Linked DNA regions of Cricetulus griseus. The protein of the gene in region 7 purifies or fractionates together with the protein of the main gene of each other region. This does not show direct contact. Links are inferred from orthologs where the notes say so. Each region holds a gene or a part of one and is shown on either strand. Other genes may lie near its edges. The genes, in order: Copa, Copg1, ATP-dependent RNA helicase DHX8, Dhx38, Copg2, Dhx15 and Nudcd1.

What was found.
Region 1: the proteins of Nudcd1 (region 7) and Copa purify together in Homo sapiens (co-immunoprecipitation; 3 studies listed by BioGRID and IntAct, with this or other methods). This does not show direct contact. The link is inferred for Cricetulus griseus from reciprocal best matches to the Homo sapiens genes NUDCD1 and COPA.
Region 2: the proteins of Nudcd1 (region 7) and Copg1 purify together in Homo sapiens (affinity purification with mass spectrometry; 3 studies listed by BioGRID and IntAct, counting the BioPlex papers as one, with this or other methods). This does not show direct contact. The link is inferred for Cricetulus griseus from reciprocal best matches to the Homo sapiens genes NUDCD1 and COPG1.
Region 3: the proteins of Nudcd1 (region 7) and ATP-dependent RNA helicase DHX8 purify together in Homo sapiens (affinity purification with mass spectrometry; 3 studies listed by BioGRID and IntAct, counting the BioPlex papers as one, with this or other methods). This does not show direct contact. The link is inferred for Cricetulus griseus from reciprocal best matches to the Homo sapiens genes NUDCD1 and DHX8.
Region 4: the proteins of Nudcd1 (region 7) and Dhx38 purify together in Homo sapiens (co-immunoprecipitation; 3 studies listed by BioGRID and IntAct, with this or other methods). This does not show direct contact. The link is inferred for Cricetulus griseus from reciprocal best matches to the Homo sapiens genes NUDCD1 and DHX38.
Region 5: the proteins of Nudcd1 (region 7) and Copg2 purify together in Homo sapiens (co-immunoprecipitation; 3 studies listed by BioGRID and IntAct, with this or other methods). This does not show direct contact. The link is inferred for Cricetulus griseus from reciprocal best matches to the Homo sapiens genes NUDCD1 and COPG2.
Region 6: the proteins of Nudcd1 (region 7) and Dhx15 purify together in Homo sapiens (co-immunoprecipitation; 3 studies listed by BioGRID and IntAct, with this or other methods). This does not show direct contact. The link is inferred for Cricetulus griseus from reciprocal best matches to the Homo sapiens genes NUDCD1 and DHX15.

Annotation. Positions count from the first base shown.
Region 1 is NC_048598.1:20,775,643-20,779,663, forward strand, and holds the start of Copa (coatomer subunit alpha), read right to left. Parts: upstream 2,801-4,021; 5' UTR 2,683-2,800; coding exon 2,643-2,682; intron 1-2,642. Other genes in the region: Ncstn (nicastrin), read left to right, coding at 2,909-2,993. UniProt on the Homo sapiens protein: The coatomer is a cytosolic protein complex that binds to dilysine motifs and reversibly associates with Golgi non-clathrin-coated vesicles, which further mediate biosynthetic protein transport from the ER, via the Golgi up to the trans Golgi network.
Region 2 is NC_048601.1:55,406,229-55,409,728, forward strand, and holds part of Copg1 (coatomer subunit gamma-1), read right to left. Parts: intron 2,008-3,500; coding exon 1,764-2,007; intron 890-1,763; coding exon 814-889; intron 202-813; coding exon 98-201; intron 1-97. UniProt on the Homo sapiens protein: The coatomer is a cytosolic protein complex that binds to dilysine motifs and reversibly associates with Golgi non-clathrin-coated vesicles, which further mediate biosynthetic protein transport from the ER, via the Golgi up to the trans Golgi network.
Region 3 is NC_048600.1:116,339,022-116,342,521, forward strand, and holds part of ATP-dependent RNA helicase DHX8, read right to left. Parts: coding exon 3,382-3,500; intron 2,301-3,381; coding exon 2,119-2,300; intron 560-2,118; coding exon 419-559; intron 1-418.
Region 4 is NC_048596.1:185,933,518-185,937,613, forward strand, and holds the start of Dhx38 (pre-mRNA-splicing factor ATP-dependent RNA helicase PRP16), read right to left. Parts: upstream 2,801-4,096; 5' UTR 2,496-2,800; intron 1-2,495. UniProt on the Homo sapiens protein: Probable ATP-binding RNA helicase. Involved in pre-mRNA splicing as component of the spliceosome.
Region 5 is NW_023276806.1:197,043,267-197,046,766, reverse strand, and holds part of Copg2 (coatomer subunit gamma-2), read right to left. Parts: intron 1,423-3,500; coding exon 1,347-1,422; intron 357-1,346; coding exon 253-356; intron 1-252. UniProt on the Homo sapiens protein: The coatomer is a cytosolic protein complex that binds to dilysine motifs and reversibly associates with Golgi non-clathrin-coated vesicles, which further mediate biosynthetic protein transport from the ER, via the Golgi up to the trans Golgi network.
Region 6 is NW_023276807.1:120,436,044-120,439,543, forward strand, and holds part of Dhx15 (pre-mRNA-splicing factor ATP-dependent RNA helicase DHX15), read right to left. Parts: intron 799-3,500; coding exon 363-798; intron 1-362.
Region 7 is NC_048603.1:8,622,444-8,625,943, reverse strand, and holds part of Nudcd1 (nudC domain-containing protein 1), read right to left. Parts: intron 547-3,500; coding exon 392-546; intron 1-391.

The DNA.
Region 1 (4,021 bases), on a different chromosome or scaffold from region 7:
AATGTTTTGGTAAATGTTTGGGGCTTTGTTGCTGATGTTTTTGTCTTCCAGAGCTAAGATTTCTTTGCCAGGGCTGTCTTGAAACTCTCTTCTACTACTACTACTACTACGCTTGCCTCAAGTTTGAGATCTGCCTGCTTCTGTGCCACCACACCCAGCAATTTTTTTTTTAATTCCTTGTTTTTTGTTTTTGTTTTCTTTTTCTTTTCCCTGACACAGTTCCTCTGTGGCTTTGGAGGCTGTCCTAGAACTAGCTTTGTAGACCAGGCTGGCTTTGAACTCACAGAGATCCACCTGTCTCTCTCTCTCTCTCCCTCCTGACTGCTGGGAGTAAAGGCGTGCACCACCATTATCTGGCTAATGTTTGGGTTTTTTAAAACAGGGTCTCATTTTGTAGTTCAGGCTAGTCTCAGACTTGCAGCAACCCTTTTGCCTTAGCCTCCCACGTGCTGGGCTTACAGATGAGAGCCACAACGTCCAACTCTGGTAGCTATTGCTTAGTTGTAAAGACATAGTATATGAATATCAGCAAGTTTATGAAGGCACCTATTTTGCATGGTGTTTCTTTTATTTTTATGATTACTGGTAACACCTTTTCGTTTTCTTTTGGACAGGTTTCACCATGTAGCCTCCAATTCACAGCAATTCTCTTGCCTCAGCCTCTCATGTGCTGGGATTTACAGACACAAACCACAGCGTCCAACTTAGCACTTAAAATTTTTAAAAATCTTTAACTATGTGTGTCCGTGTGGAAGTTATGTGCACATTAGTACAGATGCCTAAAGGGGAACAGACAAGGGCACTGGATCCCACAGAGCTGAGTGATAGGCAGTTGTGAGCCACGTGACATGGATGATGGAAATCAAACTGTACGAACAGCATACACTCTTAACCCCGATTCAACAATTTCCATGAACTCTTAATACTCATCCCCTCTACACCTTTCTACAGACTGAGAAGACATCTAAAAAGAATAGGAAATGAAGACTCATTTCAAACTCAGAAACTGGTTTTGTTTGTTTGTTTGTTTTTTAAATTACGTTTGGGCACTTGAGTTCAGGTGCCCCATGGAGCCCAGAAGACGGGATCAGATCATCTGGAGCTAAATTTACAGGTGGTTGTGAGCTGCCAAACATGGGAACTGGGAAACAAACTCAAGTCCTCTGCAAGAGCAGTAATTCAGCTAGGCGGTGGCAGTGGTGGTGGTACATCCCAGCACTCAGGAGGCAGAGGCAGGCAGATCTCTCTGAGTTCCAGGTCAGCCTGGTTTACAGAGTGAGTTCCAGGACAGTCAAGGCTACACAGAGAAACCCTGTCTCAAAACAAACAAACAAACAAACAAACAAAAAGCAGTAAATCTTGTTAATGGAGCCATCTCTCTCTAGCCCTAAACCTTTTTTTTGGGGGGGGGGGAATAATGCTTCACTGTGTAGCTTTGACTGGCCTGGAGTTCACTGTATAGACCAGGCTGGCCTCTAACTCACAGAGATCCACCTGCATCTGGCTCCAGAGTGCTGGGATTAAAGCCACTGTGACTGGCACCAGAGATGACAGTTCTTTCTTTTTTCTTTTTTTTTTTTTCCGTTTTGAGACAGACTCTCTACATAGTCATGGTGGTAGTAGGAACTCTCAATGGTACCCTTCATGACCAAAATTCCCACAAGACTCAGAAACTGCTCAGAATATAGCCTCACATTAAATAGCCTCCAGTTTTTGAGTTACTGAGTCTGGCCAGGAATTATTATAAACATATTTAATATACTTTCACATTTTTATTCTCTTTATAATGTTAATTACCTTTATTTTTAAAAATAAGAATGCAGAGATTTAGAGATCGTAAGTATGCCACCTAAGGTCATATAGCTTGTTAGTGGATGTTTCAGAATTCCTCAGCAAGTCCACTTGACTCCAAAGAACAAATTCCAAATCACTTCACTATAATGCATTTTTAGGAAATATTCCAGATATATTTTTAACCAGATTTCTGTAGGCTTAATTCTCTGCTCTTCTAATTTCAACATTACGAAAGAGTGTGATCTCAGGCATTCGTTCTTCAAAAAAATATTACCAAAAAAATCGTTTATGTGATATTCAAACCTAATACAAAGCATCTTGTATTTCGTTCATCGAACAGTCTTACAGTTTCTGGATTTTAGGGGTCTGTAAGCAAGCAGGCAATAACGTCCAACGGAAGCACTGGACATGGAGACGGTGCAGACAGGCTAAGGCAGTAGCCGGTGCCTGACTCCAGAAGCGACACAGTGACAGAGGCTGAGAACCCAGCCCCGGGGGTACTCCGTAGAATACGGTCATCAAAAAGCATAAAAGTCACAAGGCCTTAACAACAGAGAGAGTAAAAGCCGGAGCGCAGCCCCCAGAAGAGGTGGATGGAGCAGGAAGCGGGCCTAGTGATCTCTTCAATGTAGGAGCCATTTCACGAGTAAACCAAACCCCGGGACTCACTGAGAAGCGCAGAGTGCGGAGACTCCGCCAGCCCTAGGCCGCCTCCCTCGGCTATTCCGCTGGGTTCGAGCGGGCCCAAGCCGGTGGGCGAGCCCGCCCGCCCGCCGGTTCTCTCTTCCTTAGTGACAGCACCGCCCCCAACCCCCAAGCTGCGCTGTTCCCCTCTTCCTCCTCACTACCTTTGACCCGCGCGCTCTTGGTCTCGAATTTGGTTAGCATCCTTCAGGCCTCGGGCTCCCAGGTCCGACTACCCAGCCCCGCCGCTCCCGGTTGCCTTCCCAAAGTCTCCACGTCAGCTACCCGAGGTCGTGGCTCCCGGAAGCGCCTCAGACACTAACTTCCGGTCTCTGGAGCCCTGGGCCACAGAGACGGTGCCAGCGGAAGCCTAGAGAGGCCGATACGAGGCTGGAAGGGGCCCGAGGCTTCCGCTCAGCGGAGAGGCAAGATGGCTACAACTAGGGGCGGCTCTGGGCCTGACCCAGGAAGTCGGGGTCTTCTTCTCCTTCTGTCTTTTTCCGTGATACTGGCAGGTGAGGCCACCCCACCCCGGAGCTCCGCTCCGTAAGGAGAACCGTCCCGATCGGCCCATCGCAAGTGCAGGCGTTGTCGCCCTTCTGGTTCCCTTTGCCCCTCTGTCCCCCCCGCCCTGTAAATCCTTCTTGTCTTTCGTTCCCATGACATAAGTTCCCCCTTGGCCTGGACCTTCATTTCTTACCTCCCGAGGCACGTCGTTTCCCTTAGTTCTCTCCAACCCCTTTTTGGGTTTCCAACCTGATTCTCTTCTTCCTTATTCGCATGCCCCGTTTTCTTTAAAGCCCCAGCCACCCCACCCACAGTCAAAAGGGACAGGTGTAAAAAGCTCAACCTCCCTTCGCTGGTTTAGTAATTTTGAGACCAAAAGTCTTGTCTTGTGGGCGCTTCTGCAACACTGGAAAAGAGAGAGAGAGACAGAGAGACAGAGACAGAGAGAGAGAGAGAAAGAGAGAGAGCGCTCATTTCCTCCTGTCAGTGTTCTACACTAATAGTGTGTCCCTTATTTTCTTTATTTTCTAAAGTGAGGCTAACGTGGCCTTGGCCGCTTTAAACTGCTAGGAGGGAAGTAATGATTCAAGGAATTTTAGACATTTAATGTAGATGAATATTTTCATTTTTTAAAATCTAATATTTACTAATTTTGCAATTGTGAATTACACTCACTCACACATCTGTAATTCTTTCTAGTATGTTCAACTAAGAAATTAAGCAGAGCTGTGTTTCCTTATATGTATATGGCTTTTTAGTTAAGCCCTAAAATGCAATCATTTCTGTTTATACCCATGACTGTATCTCCCCTACTTCACACTGTTTTTGACCATCTTCAAGGGAGAAACTGTAGCTGCCCCATACTCTAGGTGTGCACACAAATGATCAGGTGTTTGATTCACCTAACAGGTGTGTGGCATAAGGTTTCTCCTAGGTCTGTTCAGATTCTTAGCTGGGTTTTGTTGTTGAATGCTTTTCTTTGTTTGTTTTGGTAATCTATATTCTTAGACCAGAAGTATTTTTCTAACTAATTAGT
Region 2 (3,500 bases), on a different chromosome or scaffold from region 7:
ATGTCTTGGGTCAGGGACACCACACCTGCTCTAAGGCCGCAGGAAGGTCTAAAGGCTCCAAGAGGGGGCTGGGTCCTGGGCAGGCAAGAAGACTCACCATTTAGTATATAACCTGCATTGAGGGCCTTCTGCTTCTGCTCCAGAACGTTCAGATAGAAGGTAGCTCTATCTCTCACTTCATTGTCGTCATCCATCACACACCTGTGGTCAGGACACAAGGTAACCCTGACTGAGTGTAGCAAGTGTGTCAAAGGGACCCTGTAGGGCTGTATGGGGGTGGCAGGGCGATGCAGAGCTCTTAAGGCTCAGCTGCCAAGAGTGGAGGCTCTAAAATGGACAGCATAAAATACAAGGGGCTGGTCAGCTGAGTGGAAGACAGCTCCCTAATAAAGAACTCACCCAGGAAAGAAGACAAACCAAATGTCACAAAATACACAGAGGTTCCCTTGAGCTCATAGGAGACATACTTACACCCTCTTCTGGACTCAGCAGGTACTAGGCACCACACACACAGTGCACAGATATACACACAGGCAAAAACTCACACAAATGAGATAAAAATAATTAAATCTTTGCTGGGCATGGTGGTACACACCTTTAATTCCAGCACTTAGGAGGCAGAGGCAGGTAGATCTCAGTGAGTTTGAGGCCAGCCTGGTCTACATGGCAAGTTCCAAGATAGCCAGGGCTACATAGAGAAACCCTGCCCCCCCCCCAAAAAAAAAGAAAGAAAAAAATTCTTTGGAAGGACAAAGCAGTGGACTGGACCAAGGGGACACTGTTATGCTCTCTGGCTTCTGCACCCAGACTCACCTTTTCAGCAATACCAAGATGCTAGGTAACATCTCTTCATTCTGGGCTCCAAACTTGGCCAGAGCACTCACTGCACCTAGTTCCAAGGTAAATATGATTCACCAACAGCTCCTCAGTCCCACCTGCCAGAGAGCTGAGGGTGCCCACTAGTGCTCAGAGAATTCATGCAGAAGAGGTAGTGGGTGGCACCAATACGATCCTAGAACAACTCTTGTGCAATCCTGGTGGATCCTGGTGCTACCCAGGCCTCAACTACTTCTTCCTGTTATTGGAGAAAAGGGAAGACCAGTAGCTTCTGTTCTAGGGCTCTACGGGCTACCTTCAAATGATCAAGGCCACAGACACTATCAACACTGTCAGGCTATTCACCTCAGAACAGCTTCGTGTGTATGTAAATAGGCCTGAGAGTACAGCATATGAGAAAATAAACCATCACATAGTGAACACCAGCTGCCAAAAGAAGAAAATCTTCTTAAGGATGCACAGAAGTAGGAAATGGAAAATAAGATGAAATTAAGAACAAGATGGTAGACTGCCAGATCACTGTTTATATAAAAAGGTAAATTTTATGTGTGTGTTATATCTCAAGTTTAAAAACAAAACAAAACAAAAAACCCTAGGTATGGTGGTGCATACTTGTGATTCCAGCATACAGAAGACTGAAGCGGGAGGGTTTCGAGTACGAGCCAGCCTGGCCATATAACAATACCCTATCTCAAAAATAAAATAAAATAAAAAAAGGCAAAAAAAACCCTCTAAGCACGAAACAGGAAACCTTTAAAAAAAATTAAATTGTAGAAAATCATTTATCCAGATGCATGACATATAAAGTCTTTCTGACAATATAAAAAACAGCTCATGAGGTCATGCCCCTGGGGGTTTGGGTCCTTTTACTGGCAAATTCACCGCAAAAAAGCTAAGCGCCCAGGATCACCCCAGCTCAGACCTACCTGCCCGAACCTCTTCATGCTCCAGGACCACACGGTTGTAGATGAAGCGAATGTACTTGGAGGGGTTGTTGGTCTTGGGCCCCTCCTGGCCCAACAAATGCAGGATCCGGGTAGCCAGCACAGTGAACTCGCAGTCCTCAATGAACTCACACAGGTGTGACAGTCCCGTCTCCTTGCTCTCTGAGTTCTCCTCAATGATGCTGATGATGCAGTCCACTATGGCGCGCTTGTACTCAAAGCCACCCTGCAGAGACAAATGTCTAGCTGAGCAAGGAGCTCACATCCTCCCACAGCCAAGGTCAGCTGAGGGAGGCCCAGAGCCTAGCCTGGCCCAAGACACTGCTCCACAGCTGGAAACAGGAGCCTAGGCTTCTGTCTGTGTTGGAAACTCACCAGGGCAGAAAGCTTAATGGGAACCTTCTGGACCCCAATTCTCGTGCTGAGAGAAAGATACACTCTATTAGAGAACTGCCATGTGCTTTAAAGCCCAGTGAGAAGCTGGCTCTGGAGGAAGGGCTGCTCCCTACCCCTACCCCGACGCCGGCCTCAGATCCAAGCATGTTTTGTCTTTCAAGACCCATGTCCAGGGATGGTGTCACCTGCCCCGTGAGAAGACAAAGGAGAACAGCAATACAGCTCAAAGAGTGAAAACAGCACCACTGAGAACAGGAGAGTAAATCACTTAAGTAAAATCACACTGTCCCTTAAGATGGCTAAGCAGTTCGTTCCCAAAGCAAAAGGCTCCCCTACTGCTTATCTCACAGTAGAAACACCTGTGGTGGATGTGACTCACTGGAAGCCTCACCTGACAGGAGACAGTCTGTAGGGGACTCTCTGTCAACAAGGGCCTCAATGACTTGTTCCCCATGGCTTTCCCAAGCACTCCTGCAGGATGGTGTGTATAACTTTATGTTCTACTGTCTACCTGCAGTTTGCTGTTTTCTCCTTTACCCTCGCTTGCTATATACCTAACAGACTCACTCACCTGAAACTGAAAGCCTGGCTATGGGAGACATGAAAAAAGGCAGAATGGGTGGCACACCCCACGTGGAAAACAATACAGTGGTTCCTCAAGGTATCAAGCACAGAATTAGCTAACCCAGTGATTCCACTTTTGGGTATCAGCAACAGAACACCTCTCTACACTCATAATCTTCGAAGCACCTGTCACAACAGTGACAGCACAGAAGCAACCCAAGTGTTCACAGGAGTATGAGTGGACAAACTGTAGTCAGTACTTTAAAAGGATGTTATTCAGCATTGAAAAAGAAGAAAATGAGCCGGGCGTTGGTGGCACACACCTTTAATCCCAGCACTCGGGAGGCAGAGGCAGGAGGATCTCTCTGAGTTCCAGGCCAGCCTGGTCTCCAGAGCGAGTGCCAGGATAGGCTCCAAAGCTACACAGAGAAACCCTGTCTCGAAAAACCGAAAAAAAAAAAAAAGAAAAGAAAAAAAAGAAAAAGAAAATGATACATGTTATAATATATATATGAAATCCAAGGACATTTATAAGGGAAATAAGGGAGGCAGAAAAAGAAGAACACTTCCTGATTCCCCTCAAGATAACTGAAGCAGTCAGATTCATAAACACAGAAGAACTGTGGGTGAAAGGCTAGAAGAGGCAGATGGGGAGACAGTGTTTAATAGATACAGTCTTAGCTAAAAACCAAAAGACTTGGGGCCAGAGGGGCTCAGCAGTTAAGAGCACTTGTTCATACAGAGAAATTGGTTTGATTC
Region 3 (3,500 bases), on a different chromosome or scaffold from region 7:
CACACACACACACAGTGGATAGCAAACATCCTATGAAGCCTTCCTTTATCCCACACTAAGTTAACCTTTGAAGACAGTAAGGTTTAAAATACAGAATCAAGCTAAGTATGGTGCCATATGCCTATAATCCCTTAAGGAGACAGAAGCAAGAGGGTCCCACATCTAAGGCCAGCTTAAACTATACAGTAAGATCCTGTCTTTTTTAATTTTTATTTTTTTGATTTTCAAAACAAGGTCTCTCTTGAAACTCACTATGTAGACCAGGCTAGTCTAGAACTTACAGAGATCCTGGCAAGGCCCTGTCTTGAAACAAACAGGAAAGGAAAGAAAGAAGGGAGGGACCCCTCCAGAACCATAACCAATCCCAGAAAGACCCTCACCAGGATTTAGAAAAAAGCTTATGATAGATGCAGCCAACCTGAGAGATAGGTGTCACCACAAGCTGGTCAATCCCTGTTTTAGAATTGTAAACTTTCTGTTTCACAAATCCAGGGTCAACTACATAGTAGATGCCGTCGATGGTCAGTGATGTCTCTGCGATGTTGGTGGCAATCACGACCTACAGATGAGACAGACAGAGCCAGAGTGAGCTGAGCTGAAACAGGTCTCACATGTTGCCGGGATCTGCTGCTATCTCCCTCTAGACACTTGACATTTAACCCTGGCTCAGGTCTCCAGTGTTCAGAGGGGAAGGAGCCTTCATCTGAAGGGTTCCTTTGGAAGTAGGTGGTGCCTCAGAGGTGTAAAGCAGGAAACAGCTAAGGCTGCTCAGAGCCAACCTCATTTGGTATAAATAGCTGTGCATCTCATTGTCTAGAGCGGATGATTACTATAATTTTAATTTCCTAGCTCCCTGGGAAAGTACAGATTTCCTGGCATCACATGTGCCACTGCAAAATGAGATTTTTCTTTCTCTCACAGGGACATCTGGACTACGAATGGGCTGTTCATATATGTAGAACAAGAGGAGGGTTGCATCTTTTCTCCTCACCATAAAATGAGCCACAAGGCGACAGAGGAATTTCACAGTGTGTGTGTGTGTGTGCAGCAGTGTCTGATCTAGAAGATTATGACTCTCAGCTTGGCTTTCCACCCAGAGGTTCAGCTCATAAAATGCAACTGCTTAGAAAAAACATTGCTAGGAGGCGCCAAAATGTCTCACATCATACCAGTATCTTACTGGCCCTGGAAGGCATTTACCTGCCACACAGCCAAAAGCCCTGCTTAGAAACGATCTAACCTTGGGGGCTGCAGAGATGGCTCAGAGGTTAAGAGCACTGGCTGCTCTTCCAGAGAACCTGAGTTCAATTCCCAGCAACCACATGGTGGCTAACACCAATTCCAGAGCTTCTGATACCCTTACACAAACATATGTGCAGGCAAAACACCAATCAACATAAAAAAGAAGTAGCTGAAAAAAAGAAAAAAAAAAAAAAACAATCCAACCAACAGAAACAGGACAGAGGAAGAACTCAACATCTGCCCCTCCCAAACCTGCTCCCATGTTAGAACCGTGTTCCACGCAGCTGTGCAAGTTAGAAGCAGGGAAGTTATTTTTCCCTCACCCTTCACCCCCTCTGTCTCCTGAACGACTGTGCGCCCTCCTATCCACTGCTGGGACTACACTCAGAGAAGCACACATCCCAGGAAACTGGTAAACAAATGTTCACAGTAGAAGCACTCATGGTATATCCCAAAGTGGAAATAACCTAATGCCTATAGTGAACAATATACAAAATAAAATTTATGCAAGGTCTAGCAGGATGGCTCAGTGGGTAGACACTTGCCACCAAGCCTGATGACCTGAATGATGGTGGAAGGATAGAATTGATTCCTGAAAACTGTCCTCTGACCTGAACACGTGTCATGATGTGCACATGCCACCATGTCCAGCTGTAAAATCAATTATTTTATTTAAAAATGATGAATTAAGGCAAGGGGATAGCTCAACTGGTAAAGTACTCAGTCTCAAAAGTCTGAAGACCTGAGTTTAATACCCACAACCCATATAAAAATGGTAGGCATGGTGGCATGTGCTTGTAATTCCATCACTGGGGAGGCTGGACACCCCACAGGACTTCAGGGTATATGAGACAACCTCATTTAAGCCCATGTTACCTTTCTGCTGCCAGGAGGAGCTGGGTCAAAGATTCGGGTCTGCATCTCACTGGGTAGGGCAGAGTACACTGGGAGGATGATTAACTCCGGGACATCAGGTCCCAGAGATTTCATTCTTTCATACAGGATCTCACAAGCAGTATCAATTTCTTCCTGACCAGTCAAGAAAACCAAGATATCACCTATGAAGAGAATGAGGCATTATTTCCTCTGTCTCTGTGGGGGTCGGGGGTGTTTTGTTGTTTCTTTTGTGGTATGAGAGGTAAAATTTAGAGTCTTTCTTTTTTTTTTGTTTTTTAGAGACAAGGTTTCCCTATGGCTTTAGACACTGTCCTGGAACTAGCTCTTGTAGACCAGGCTGGTCTCGAACTCACAGAGATCCACCTGCCTCTGCCTCCCGAGTGCTGGGATTAAAGGCTTACGCCACCAACACCCGGCAAATTTAGAGTCTTGTGCATGTCCTCACTGAGCCACATCACCAGCTCTCTTTTCACTTTTGAAAAGTTTTGAGACAAGTTGTCCAGGCATGCCTTGAACTTGAGATCTATCTGCCTAGCTAACTAGCTGGGATTACAAGCCTGCAACCAGGCTTGGATCTGTTTTACTGTGAAATAGAGTTGAATCATGTTCCAGGCTGGTCCTAAACTTCAATCCTCTTGCTTTAGCCTCTTGGTAGTTGGAACCACAGGTACAAACCACCAGACTGCTTGTGTGTAAAAGGATACAGCAACACTAACAGCATTACTATGTATGTATGTATATATATATATATATATATATATATATATATATATATATACACACACACACACACACACACACACACACACACACACACGTAAACGGAAAACATATATTTTCCATTTACATATAAGGCACCCGCCTTTAATCCCAGCACTCGGGAGGCAGAGGCAGGCAGATCTCTGTGAGTTTGAAGCCAGCCTGGTCTACAGAGCTAGTTCCAGGATAGCCTCCAAAGCTACATAGAGAAACCCTGTCTCGAAAAACTAAAAAGAAAAAAAAATCACAAAAATAAACCAAGAGGTTATCATCTGTCTACATTTAATTAAGTGCATTTAAACCTTATATCACTTTTTTAAACTATTATATCACTATTTTAATTTGGAATAATATTTTATTCCAAATATGCATGCCTGAGACTTACAAAGAGAACAATATTTAAAATGTGTTTCTTACAAGACTAGCCAAAAATACACCCAGTAGGATTTTTGGCCTAAGACAAAAGCCTTCCACTCCCCTCACCTGGTGGCTCTGTTAAATGGATCTGCATAACAGTGATCAGGCTGGCGTCCAAATAGTCTGTCTCGGGCTCCTTTGTGTACAGTATTTCCACTGGATAGGTCCGACCAGGGATGGTGAAG
Region 4 (4,096 bases), on a different chromosome or scaffold from region 7:
CTGAGCCCAAAGCATCTTCTGCTATCAGAGGGTGTGTGTGTGTGTGTGTGTGTGTGTGTGTGTGTGTGTGTTCATGCAGGTACACAGGCACTGTGTGCACATGAGGCCAGAGGTCAATGTCAAGTGTTTTCTCAGTTGCTCCCTTACTTTTTGAGACAGGGTCTCTCACTGGACTGGGAGTAAATCCAGCCAAGCTAGGGTGTCAGCAAGCTCCTGGGATCTGCCTGTGTCTGCCTCTTCAGCACACAAGTGCCTCTACTCATAGCTTTCCTTGTACTCGGATCCTCATGCTTGTGAGAAGGCACTTCACCAACTGAGCCATCTCTCTAGCCCCCTTTGCTACTTCCGAAGACTTTCCCACCAAATCAGTGACGATCTCAAAAAGTTTCCCAGTTCCCACCTCAACATATATGAAAGACACAGAGACACATATACACAGAGCAAGTGGTAGGATCAAGAGGGTATCATCCAGACAAGAATAAACTTCAGTAAGGACTTCTTACTGGAATACAAAAAGGGACTAGAAGGGGAACTAGATGTAAGTCAGAAACCTCAATTAAAATCCAGTTTCTGGTCCTACGCACGGTGACACCCACTTGTAATCTTAGCAGGTGAGAAGCTGAGGAGGCTCCAGAGGATGGCAAATTTGAAGCTAGCCTGAGATACATAGTGAGTTTCATAACTGCTAGACTATTTAGTGACATATTCATTCATTCATGCCCATGGCCCTCACTCATAGATTTTCCCTACCCATTATTTAATTTATTCTCCTGTAATTTCACCCTTCTACTTTCTCTACTTAAGAATCACAATAATCACCTTTAAGATCCCCATTGGCTTACTGCCTCCAAACATCAACCAAACACGCTGGCCTTTTTCATGTCAGCTGCAGCAGCACACCCTCTTCTTTAGTAACAGACATTAAAAAATAAAAATAAAAAAGATACCCAGGCTCTTGGCATTTTCTGCTTCTGTGAGAGTAAGCAGCAGGCTTGGTTAGCTATTACTTCTCTATACACTGCACAGAACCACTGTGAGAATCTAACAACTGTACATGAACCATAGATGTTTTGTCAGTGTAATTATTACACATTTGCTATTATGCCCCTGTATACTGACTAGTTTCCTTACTAATATTTCTAATATTTTATATACATTCTTCTACTCACCTATCCCCTCCCCCTTGAAGCCACAGGTTCCACAAAGTGTAAGTGTAAGGACATAATTTTACCATCCATATTCTACACACTTGGTGACTTTTGTTGTGATCAGTAGTGTTTTGTGCAAAAAGGGGGGAAAAAAAGCTGCCCATAGCTGGCAAAAATCTCTTGAATAAGAAACTGTATTTACCAAACTTGCATATGAGAAATGCTAAGTTAAGGAAGTGGTATTTCAGGAAAGTGTTTAAGAGACTGCAAGATCTCCTGGTTGATAACACACTCGTCTTTAACTGATACCATCTACTTAGAAGCATGAACTTATGTTGGACACACAGACAATTATTCTCATTCCAGTAAGTCGTTAAAGCATAAGAACTGTACCTCTGGAATCTACACTTCTTTTGCCATATTCTAATCGGCATGCACAGCTCTACCAAGGAGTACTGCAAACATGATGTAGATGAACAAACAAGAGCTTCATTTGGAAATTCCATCAGGTGGAGCAGAAAAAGAAAGTTACATGTAAATATACATGAGGAAATCCAGACGGGGAGACTGAGGTACACAGACTCTCAGCAGTTACCTGAATGATGACTTATGTCCTAAAATGTCATTTGCATACAAGCGAGAGGCTGTCTTGTTGACTGCTATAACCCAGCAATGGCAAAATGAAAGTCTAATTTTAAAGCAAATGAATAAATATATCCTATTAAAAGAGAACAAGAACTCAAACATTTCTCTGGACAACAAGAAGTTTATCCACAACACAGGTCAAGGAAGGATTTAATTGTCCGCTCAAAATAGCAAACAAGGAATTCCAGGGCCAGATTATGGAGAAAGATCAGTGACACAGAAGCCACAAAGGACTTCTTGGGCAGCAACTGCATGTGTCCTTGAGTCAATTGTTCTCAACAATACCGATTTTAAAAACAAAAACCAAAAACTCCCTGCCCTTTGCGGTTAATATTCTACCTATAGATTAACCACCAGACTTAATGGAGACACTTCGGTGAGAAAGGAGGAAGGCAGCAGGAGCCCTATCCAGACTCTCTAGGTAACAGGTTAGGGCACCGTCCTAAATAAACCAGGGCGCAGGGCGGATGCCTCGATCTCAGGGGGCCGTTCCCAAACACAAGGATGTGACCATAACGGGGACAAAGTCCGGAGCAGGCTGAATAGACACAAGACCGCTCAAGTGAGTAGAGAAAGTTGGGTAACAAGGACAAGAGGAACTCTGAAACCAGGGCCCAAAACCTAAGCCGCGAACCGACCCCGGCCGCCTGGAGCCACCATGGCGGCCGAAGGACGGATCTGGAAAGAGGAAGAGATACTCACTTCACCAAGCACGACTCTCGGGACCTTCTGCCACTGATCTGGGGACGCCAGCGCGAACACTGCTCGGTCTGAGGGTCTCAAAGAGGTAAATTCCACTGTTTGAAAGCGGCCATCATTGTCCCATAATGCCCTGCGCGGGGTCCTCTATCCGTCCAAAAATACCATCGAGAGTAGCCCAGAAATACAAGGTTCCTGGACGCCAGAGAGAAACAACGTGAACACGCCTTCAAAGCCACGGTGTCTTCCTCTGGGCCCCAGGTTTCCTTGCGACCAATCGTGCTTAGAGTGATAGCTGATACCCCGCCTCTGGCCTGTGGGCGTGAGAGGCAAGACAGACCGAGGTCAGCCATATTTACTAAGGGCGGAAATGACATAACTTCCTGTTGGGGCAGTGCCAAATGGGCGAGAACTATAATAACGCCGTCTGCTTATTGGGCTATTGACTGGGACGCGCGATGGTACGTTCATTTTCTGCGTCCGTGTTTCATTTTCACTTCCGTTTGTTCGGGTTTGCAGGCCAAAGAAGGGTTTCTAAGCAACAGCCCAGGTTAGTTGGGGTTAAGGTCCTTTCCCGGGTTGGGACCGATGAAGGAGACAGTTGTGCCTTGGCTATCGGTGAAGGAATCCGGACTGCTGACAGGTGGTTTGTGTCCTCCCTGGCACCTGTGGACCAGGAGTAACCCAACCGCCCGCATCTTGTAAAACACAGGTGCGGAACGTTTTGGAAAGTAGACATATCCGCCCTGAGTAAATAAGTTATCTACCTGGCTTGGTGGCACGCTCCTGTAATCCCAGCAATTGTGAGGCAGAGACAGGAAGATTGCCACAAACTCAAAGCCAGCCTGAGCTACTAAACGAGACCCTTAGTGGAAATAATAATCACTTGTCCATGTTCAAGTATGTCCTTTGATGATATCTTGGAATATTTATTTAATTGTGATTTCCACACACTTTCGTTGTTGTTGTTTTTCAAGAAAGAGTTTTTCTATGTAGCCCAGGCTGTCCTGGAGCCTACTGTATAGACCAGGCTGGTCTCAAACTCACAGAGATCTGCCTGCCTCTGCCTTCCAAGTATTGGGATCAAAGGTGTGTGCCACAGCGCCTGGCTCCACACACTCATAACTGATCTGTTTGCCATGTGATAAAGTGCACCTAGGAAGACGCCTTAAGCCAGGTCACGAGAATATACAAACGTCCATCAATGAAGGACCACTAAAGTGTGGTCCACATATGAAATGGTATGCTACCGTGATAAAAATCTGGACGTTTTCTGTGTAGGGCTATGGGAATCTCATTAAATGTTAGATTTAAAACAATGCAAAGTGCAGAGAGATGGGTGAGCTATGTACTGAGCCTCTGCTATTCCCAACTGCTCGTCCTCCTAGAATGCTGAGATCAGCAAGTTTGTCTGCCTCAGCACTTCCCATAAATTCTGGTTCCATTTGGAGTCAGGCAGTGATATTGAGGGTGGGGATAGCAGTATCCTTTAGTGGCAGGCCAACCTGTCTTTGTGCAGCTACCTTCCTACTCAGTTGTGCACAGCTCCACAGACTATTGAGTGGGATCAGCGCTTTGAAGTTACAGGCTTTGCCTTGTCTTCC
Region 5 (3,500 bases), on a different chromosome or scaffold from region 7:
AACTAGAGATAAGCAATATTCTTTTGGACCCTTTTATACTTTAAAAAATACATATTATTTCATAGGAACTGCTATTACCAAATTAGAAAATACCTCCATGAATATACGTTTCCCTAGAAATGGAATTTCATTCAAAGATTAAAACCATGCAACTGCCTAAAGGAGTCAGCTAATATGTGAATCACCATAAAATAGGTTTGACCATTTGAACAGAAGTGCTATGTCATGTCTCCATAACACTAAGGCACTAACCGTTGAAGATATATGTAGCATTCAGGGCCATCTGTCTCTGCTGTAGCACATTCAGGTAGAAGGTAGCTCGGTCCCGTACCTCATCATCAGTATCCATCATACACCTGTTCAGAAGGAATGGCATAGGTATGTTTCTATATCCCAAAGATTTCCAACAGTTTTACCACTGTTCCTGTAAAGCACAGTTGAGGTTATCTGATATGACTTTTATGGCAGAGTTCAATAATAGCCAACAAGGGCTCCTAAATTTTCCATGATTCTTTGAACTGTTATGAAGTACTAAAGAGATGCCATTGCAAGTCAGAATTACTACACTAGGAGGCCTGAAGTCACTAGGAAGAACACAGTAACATGACATAATAATGTAGAGTCTGTAACTACAAGAGCCCAACAAAGACTTAGCTTCTCTAACACTAAGAAATGGAAATGTTACGCTACGGAGACAAAGAAAACTAGCACTCAGTACTGTTCAAATGGCAATCTGCTTCATTTAAACTAGTCAGTCTTTGGCTTATGACTTAATTGCTTTAAATATAAAATACAATCACAAAATACTTGCTAAAGCCGGGCGTTGGTGGTGCACACCTTTAATTCCAGCACTCTCGGGAGGCAGAGGCAAGGCAGGTGGATCTCTGTGAGTTCAAGGCCAGCCTGGTCTCCAGAGCGAGTGCCAGGATAGGCGCCAAAGCTACACAGAGAAACCCCGTCTAAAAAAAAAAAAATTATATATATATATATATTAAAAAGGACTTTCCCTCACAACTAGGGAGTTATGAAGATCATGAAAGGCTATCTTCAATTCTTCATATGAATTGTTTAACCTCTCTTTAAAGTTAGTGTTTACTGTACAAATTGAAGTACATATATTTACCTTACTCCCTCAAAATCATGTAAAAGAAATCCAAATCTCAAATCTCACATGTATCTTGTGTATATATAACTATCAGAAATAGGAAAAACTGCATTTGCCCCTGACTAGCTCTATTAGCTCTACTCTTAGCCCTACAGTGTGTCTAACAATAGGGCAATGAGGTTTTTCACTACTTAGCTATATGGAATCTTTATCTTTCAAAAGCTGGCATTCTCTTATATACCTTTGTAAGAGGACCAGGATGCTTGGGAGAAGGCTCTCATTCTGAGCTCCAAATTTAGCCAAAGCACTTACAGCAGCTGTTGTGAAACACAGAATGAAGCAACATAAATACTGACTTCTCAGAGTTAAGAAATAAGCATTCCCAAAACAAATCAGACACTTGTGAGCCCAAGGCAGGAAAATTACTCAAAGTCTAAGACCAGCCTGGGCTACAGAGTGAGTTTCAGTCCAGCCTAGGATACAAAGACCACGTATTAAAAAACAAAATAAAAACAAATAAACCAAAACCAAAAGCAAATGAGAAACAACTAGTATTCAGTAGAAATAAAGTCTTGTTTCATTAGCAATTCCTTGATTACTTAAGCATAAACAGAATTGTGAATCATATACATACTGTGTAAGCTGTCTCTACCCTAGGACACCTACCTATAGCTCTTCCTATACCCTCTGACATGATTCAGTTCAAATTTCAAACAACTAATGCCAAGAAGCTATTACTAACATTCTTTTCATTCAACAAAGATTTAATGCTCACCTAAATTTTACTGGAAGTGTGGCAAAAGCTGAGGAATACAAAGATAAAAGACATGGTCTTTGAAAGAGACTGTCTTACCCTAGTAAATCTCTAGCAAAACTATATCCAAGATGCTAGGTAAGTACAGAAATGGGGGCTTAGGTCAAACAACGAATTGAGACACTACTGCAGCTAATTTTGTAGAATAGTTAGTTTAGCCAAAGGGAAGAGACAAGGTAAGAGTATTAAAAAGAAAAACAAATAAATGTTCTGTGTCCAGAGTAGAAAGTGTATTTACTAGTCTTGAATGAGAAAGGCTGAGAATTGGAGCCACATTAGAGAGTGAAAGTGAGAGACTAGATAAACTAAAAAAACCACACATAGCTCAACCGTAATGTTTCAATTAAAGGTTTATTATCTCACATAGGTATAGGATGTATTTGTGATTGTTTTTAAATATTTTTATTATTCTTAATTATGTAAAATGTATATGCCTCTGGGTAGGTACACACACACACACACACAGCAGAGTGTAGGTGCTGGCAAGGCCAGAAGTATCAGATCCCCTGGGAGCTAGAGTTACAGGTAGAGCCAATTTCAGGTCCTTGGCAAGAACAGTAAGTACCCTTAACTGATGAGTCAGCTTTCCAGCCCAAATTTGTGTTATTTTAATGCCCACTCTTCATATTCCACAAACAAACAAACAAACAAACAATCTGTGACACTAGAAGCAGAGCAGCTAGGGATCAGAATGAATGAAAGCCTAAACCTGTACCCAATGACAGAAGGTAAGAGAATGAAGAAACCAGTTAAGGAGGCCAAAGTGACAGACCTGTGGTGAGGAACAGATGAGGTTTCAGGGTGACCTAAATCCCTGCCTTCTGAGGATCAAGGAAAGATTTCAATTTGGACTAGTTTGAATTTCACATTACATATGGGGTATATGGTGGACATTCTTATTCAGGAGAACCATGCCTACAAATAGAGCTCCAAAACACAATCCAGAAGAATGTATACAGTGATAAGACAATTCTAAGGATGGCCAATTAATGTACTAGAAAGAAAGACTATAAATAGACCAAGGGATGACAGAAAACTGGAGTACACTATAAAAACCAAAGGAAGAGTTTCCTTAAGCAGCCAGTAAACAGTTTATCAAGTTGAGACATGAACTAAGATCAAAATTGTCAAGTAGTCTGATTTTCCCACTAACTTACATGTAATTTTAAAAAGTAACTTGAGAAAAAAAACTTAAAGGAGAGGGTCAAATTTTATTGAGCTGAGAAGAAAATAGGAAAAAGAGCACATGAAGGCAACTAGTGACGGTTTCTGTGAGTTTATCTGGAAACCAAGTATATAAGGTCAGGAGTTAACGTGAAACAGGATTACAGGATAATTTACCTGTATTAGTGGCATAGACTAGAATCACTTAAAATGTATCTATGGACACATCCATACATAAATCCCATATACTGGTTTAGTGAAAAAATGAGAGGTAGCACTATAGTGTTCCTGTTACACTGAAAGGCAAGGACTGTAGGATTCCAATTCAAGGCAAAAATCTGCATGAAAGTCGGAACACAAAGGAGAGCTGTATACCTAGTCCCAGGGTGTCCTCCAAAGTCACATCACACCTGTAAC
Region 6 (3,500 bases), on a different chromosome or scaffold from region 7:
TTCAAATATTTTAACAAAGAAAACAACCCCAATGTTTCAGATCTCTCCACTCAAGCACTAGAAAACAAAGTTTGTACTCCTAATTTCTACTGTCCCAGAGTTTTCCTGCTATACTCAGAATAACAAGATGAGAAGATAGCAGTTATTTTCCTGTATAGACTAAGAAATCAACCCTCTTTACTAAAATAACACCCTAAGTCACTAAAAAGCGTTCGCCAAAGAACTCTTCTTCAGGATATTCTACACGACATACAATTGCAAATGAACAGAGAAATAGAAAATGACTATCATGACCAAACCAGCACATTTAGTTAAATTTAAACACTAGCATAACATATTTACCATAGTATTTAACAACTCACCTGTGTTGTCTTACCAGACCCAGTCTCACCAACCAGTACAAATGACTGATGTCTAACAAGAATATCTGTAAACCTATCCTTGTATTCCCAAACAGGGAGCTGAAGCCGTTTCTTTAGAATATCATAATATCGAGGCGTATGGGGCAGGTTAGTAAACGGATTAATGCACTGTGGAAGTGATGTGTGTCCTGCGTGCCCAGTGTGTGTTGAATGGGCAGAATGTGTAGAATGTGTTGAATGAGCCGAGTGGGTTGAGTGAGCTGAATGAGAAGCTTTTAGAGGAGGCAATCCAGCACTGATAAGCATAGCGTTGGTGGAAGCTCTCAATTCTTTTTCCTTTTCTTTCTCCCTCTCCCGTTCTCTATCTCCTCTATCGCGTTCTCGGTCACGATCTTTAGATCGGTCTTCTCTATCCCGGTCTCTATCCCGGTCTTTCCTGGAAATATAAAAATTTAAAAATCAGAGTGATTATGTGTATAACATCTCAACGAATTATTAGAAATGATCGGATTTTTCATGCACCACCAAGAAAATTCTTTACTAGACAAGGTCTCTAGTTCCATCCTTCTAAAACCTTAATAACTGATAGGAAGACCATCAAAATGGCTCAGCAGATAAAGGTTTGAGCCTAAGCCTGACAGTCTGAATTCAATACCCAGAACCCACATGGTGATAGGAGAGGACCAACTCTTCTCAGCTCTCAACACAAGATGTAATATAATAAAACTTAAAAAAAAAAAAAAAAAAAACCAAGTCAGGCACTCAGGAGGCAGAGGCAGGTGGATCGTTCACTATAAATCTATACACACCTTGATGAATCAAAATGAAATGTAGTCAAATTAAAAACAAAGTTCACAGACTACAGAACTGTTGTAAAAATTAAGTAATTTCTACTGAACTAAGGATAATTTTAGTCATTTCTGGTATCTACAACAGATAATCCTAATGGAGTAAATTCAACTCATATATATATCACAAAATGCCAAGAGGTTTTCTGACCTGGACTAAAACAATGAGGCAATGTGGAGACAACAGAAACAAACCCCTAAATCTGTCATTGCTCTTTACTTACAACACATAAAGTTCATTTCCTGTGACACAAGTATCTGTACAGTACAGCAGGAAAGCGCATTCACTCTCCACAGTCTTTTAGAGGAGAAACAGTAAAAACCTTAAGCAGAATACAACTAAAATGCTTACTAAACAGCACAGAATGAGAATCGTTCAGCCACAGCACTGGTAAGTTGATAATTGTATCTGATTCTGTTCATAAAATATGGGACTCTATTCCATACAAACTTGCAGGGAAGAAAAGCCCTATTAGAATGTGACTTCTCCCATCCTAACTACCCACTACAGATTTATGAAAAATACAACATAAAGCTGAAATAAATCCTCACATGCCACCCAAAACCCAAAGAAATCAAAACTATATAGGTAAAAGATTACTTAAGAACTACAAAACAGCTGGGCATTGGTGGCGCACGCCTTTAATCCCAGCACTTGGGAGGCAGGCAGATCTCTGTTGAGTTCGAGGCCAGCCTGGTCTCCAGAGTTGAGTGCCAGGATAAGCTCCAAAGCTACACAGAGAAATCCTGTCTTGAAAAACAAAAACAAACAAACAAACAAAAAAGAAATACAAAACAACAACAACCAGGCCATAGTGGTACACGCCTTTAATCCAAGCACTTGAAGGCAGAGGAAGTTCTGAGTTCAAGGCCAGCCTGACCTACAAAGAGAATTCCTAGACAGCTAGGACTGTTACACAGATGAACCTGCCTAGAGACAGTCCCCCAAAGGAGGGAGAGAGGAAGGGATATAAGTCTTAAAATTTCAAATTTGAGCCTTATCTTTGAAATATATCACATTCATTGCTACTTTTGCTTCTCATTTAAGTGCTCTTTAACTGGGCATTGATATCAAATCAAAAATGTAAGTTTATAAAGCAAAGAAAGACTCAAACAGCTCAAGGACTGGATACCTTTGCAGGCCTAGTGATTTGGTGGGTAAAAGCACTTGCTGTGAAAGCAAGAAAACCTGAGTTCAAATCTGTTAAATTAGGCATGGCCTTGTGGTGCCTGTAACCCAGCATTGGTGAGGGTGGATCTTCAGAGTTTGCAGGCCAGCCTAGCTGAAAAAAAAAAAAAACGGTCAGCTTCAGGAAAAAAAAAAAAAAAAAAAAAAAAAAAAAAAAACAGCTTCACAATCAGCAGTGTCTCAACTAACTGGGCAATGTATTCAACAGGGGCAGGCATGAGCACACGCATGCACATATACACACACAGAAAAGTTTAAAAAAGGGTTTACATTTGTAGCTATCATTTTGTTATAAAGTACAAAAAGAAACTGAACAAGCATCTTCCATATTTAAGAGTATGGAATCAGTTAAGATACAAACCTAACCTTTCCAAAACTACAAACCTGGGTGAAGAGATACTACACAAAGCAATCCACATAATGTTATGTGAAAAATTAACACCTACACTAACACACACCTTTTCCAGGACACATTTCACCTACAGCTTCATTACTATATCAGAGAAAGAAATAGAATACAAAACACAAGGATTCGATGACGAATAAAGTGAGAATTTAACATCACCCCCAAAAAAGAGGGGCAAGGCAACCAGTTGAAAAACCACAGAAAAGGCCTAAAACTCAGCAAAGTGATGAAGAAAACATTTGGGATGCAGAAAACTACTTCAATGGTCTAGTTTTGCAGTTCACACTAGCTACTCTGAATGACAAAGGTAAGTTTTTAAGTCCCTCTCCAAGCATAGGTAGACTTGTCCATATGCAGCTTCTTGTTTAAAAAGGGCACTTACAAAAAGTTTTTCTCATAAGAATTTGCTAGTTAAGCATAACACTTTTAATTTTAAAGAAAATAAAAACAATACTGGTGTGGAAGTACACATCTTTAACCACAAAACTTGGGAGACAGAGGCAGCAGGCTGATCTCTGGTCTACACAGTTGAGTTTCTAGGATAACCAGAGCGATGTAGAGAAACATTGTCTCAGAAGAAAGACAAAGCAAGCTCTAAATAGTTCTTTAGTCAACACTATGACATTTATCAAGAACAGTCAGTGTTTCCTTGCTCACATGCAAGTTTTGTCTATTGATACAGAACTAATAACATT
Region 7 (3,500 bases):
ATCAGATAAACAAGACCTCAAGGCATAAATTATCCCCAAGACCTAGAGGGAAAAAAAGGACTATGTCTTAATACTAACATAAATGTTACATAGTTTACATGACAGCATAAACACCAAAAATGACACAATGTAAGCACTAAGTAAAAGGGAAAAGAAGAAATCCTTTATTACACTGAGGATATACCACACACGGGAGGAAATGGCTGGGTAGCGGGATTACGGAGTAAAAGCTACGACTGACATTAAGCAGAGAGGCAGCCTTACAGTTTGACGACAGGTCTCCACTTTGCAAGTGTGCTCTCCTGACTGTCTGGACATCAGACTAGGAGAGAGTAAAGAACCAACGGGAACAGGGTGAGCTCTGTCTTTCCACCCTGCATGTTTTTCTTACCAGCATCACTGTTAAGTTCATAATTCTCCCGAGGTTATCAATGTAGTAGACACTGTCTTGATACCAGGCATCACAGTGCAGATAATTATACATCCCAAAAGCATGCATGTGCTCCAACGTATACTGGTCATCCCGAAGCTTCACTTCCGCTACAGCTGAAAGACAAACAAACATATGTAAACAGACACACATATTTACATGCATCTGTGTGTATATATAGACATGAACACAATCATCAAACTTGCACCTCGGATCATTCATTTCTGCAAAATGCCTACAGGGCATAGAAACCAGACAGTGGCAGCTACAGAGGCTGCAGCATGCAGGACTTCCATAGTGCAATCTTTTCCTTTTATGTCCCTCTATGATTTTGAATTGTAAGGACTTCTAATCTGTGGGCAAACAATCCCAGTTTATAAAGCATTCTTACTCCAGTGTGTCATTCATCTTTATCACACATAAAGAAAGAGACAATGTCTGTATTATATGATTATACAGTTAGGAAACTAGGCAGAAACACAAAGAGTAACTTCACCATCGCATTGCATCATTCCCAATCATAAAGAATAAAACAGTATCATAGTCGGGACATACACAAGGTTTTCTGTGTATGGAACGGGGCTCTCTGAACTAAAACATTAGCTTTTGCCTAATTCTGAATTGGCCAAATATATATAGTCTTTCCCTCACATTCGTGCCTTTCTGTGTGGTTAAGAACTTGCAGCTCAGGGCTACTCATGCCCTACAACTAATTTCTGTTTGTAACAAAAAGAAAATTAAGTAAACTGCACTGAACCTCCACGTTACCTTTATATAAAACTCATTTGAACACTATTCTCACTGCCAACTATTTTCTCCTTTACCCGCTGTTTTAGTTTCCTTTCTGTTGCTGTAGTAAACACCATGAGAGGAAGCCATCTCAGAGAGGAGGGGGTTAATTCCAGCTTCTGCTTTCAGGTCACAGTTCATCACTGAGGGAAGTCAGGACAGGGACTCAGAAGTCAGAGCAGGAACTGAAGTAGAACCCACGGAGGGCTGTTGTTGCTTACTGGCTTGCGTCCTCTGACTTGTGCTCAGCCAGCTTTCTGGAATCTATCTACCGTCTGCCCAGAGGTGCTGCTGTCAGCCATGGGCTTGGCCCTCCCATGTCAATCAGCAATCACACAGGGCCAAAGGCCTGGGTATTACCTCAATTGAGACTCCCTCTCCTGGTGACTCTTAATTGTGTCAAGTTGACAGTAAAAACCATCCAGGGCCTCACACCATTTGTTATTTCTTTCAACTTATTTTGTGTATGTGTTTGTCTGCATGGATGTACGTGCATGCCTGGTGCCTGTGGAGGCCAGAAGCCATCCTTTGGGCTGAGGTTACAGATGCTTTTGAGCCACCACTTAGGTTCTGGGCACTGACCCCTCTGCAAGAGCAACACACGTTCTCACCTGCTGAGCCTTTTCTCCGGCCCCACTTTTCCTATTCTCAACGCCTGCACTGAGTCCTAGCTTACATATTTATTCATTTACTTAGCAAGTCTTATAATGAGCACCAGCGACACCAGTGATACACAGAGAGAACACACTCTACCTGCTAAAAACTCAGCATCTGGTAAGCAAAAGGATAATGGGTCAGGCCGCCAGGCCGCCAGGCCGCCAGGCCGCCAGGCCGCCAGGCCGCCAGGCCGCCAGGCCGCCAGGCAAGATGGTGCCCACTTTAATCCCAGCATTCGGGAGGCAGAGGCTCATGGATCTTTGTGATTTAGAGGCCAGCAAGTTCCAAGACACCTAGGGCTATGTAGTGAGACCATCTATGCCTCAAAAATAAATAAATAAATAACCAACCCCCCCCCAACCAAAACAAAAAAGCACTAGTCAAATGATCACATATTGCATAATGAATTTAATACAATTAAAACATTATGTAGAAAATACAAATACCACAAGGATATATAAAAGAGAATTGACCTACTTCAGGAGGTTAACAAAAGCTTTCCAAGACTGAGCCAAGATACAGATGGAAGATGTTGTTGAAGTAATAGACGTTTAAATAACATGCCTTCTAAGCAAAACCAGGAAAAACTGGAAGAAAAAGACAAGTATTCATACTGACTGTCCTAGTTTTCTTTCCCATTGCTATGATAAAACCCCAACAAAAGCAATTCAGGGGAAAAGGGGATTTATTTACGTCACAAATCCAGGTCACCGTCCATCACTGCTAGGGAAGTCAAGGCAGAAACCTGAAGCAGCTACTCACATCCATGGTCGAGAACAGAGAGAGAATGAATGCAAGCTTAGTGCTAAACTCATCTCTCCCTGTCACTCAAGCCAGGGCCCAACCCATTAAACGGTGCCACTCATTTCAAGATAGGCCCTCCCACAATTAATTAACCTCAATCAATTCTCACAATCACACCCACGGGCCAACCTGATCTATTCTTTATTGAGATTCCCTTCGCAGTGATTCCAGATTGTGTCAAGGTGACAATGAGAACTAGCTACCTCCCTGCTCCCTGGCTTTGGGAAGTACGAGAACTATATACCAAGAATAGCTGCAAATGTATGCAGCTGGAGAATGAGGGCAGAAACTGCATTTCGATAGCCTAATCTGACTTTACCTTGACTTCTGCCTTTAGAAACTCGCTGTAAGCAAGGATTCATCTGTTTCTAAACTGGAGAATAAAGTTCAGATTTGAGGTCCTTAGACAGTACTCAAAAATGAGATGTGGAATACAGACTGTATCAGAGAAGGGGCAAAACCAACAGCAAGCTACTGACGTCAGCCAACTCACATCCAAGAGGGGTGACTGAAGCCTGGAAACATTTCAGACTTGACAGGCAAAATCGCAAGTTTCTGAGGATGTTGATGGGGGCTGTGGAATGCCCCCTCTAGTTTAAGGAAGGATTTATTTGCGAAGGAAGGGTTAGAAATGGATACTCTACTAAACAAGAGGGAAACAGCAGCCAACTGTTGGTTTTCTAGCACCACTGTGTGGATGAAATTTAATAATGCAGGATGCATTATTAGACATTGATATTAGACAATATTAAGTCAAGTATGTTCTTATCATATTTGGATAAAAAGCCCTGGATAGCCTTAAACAAACCCAAAGTTTGTT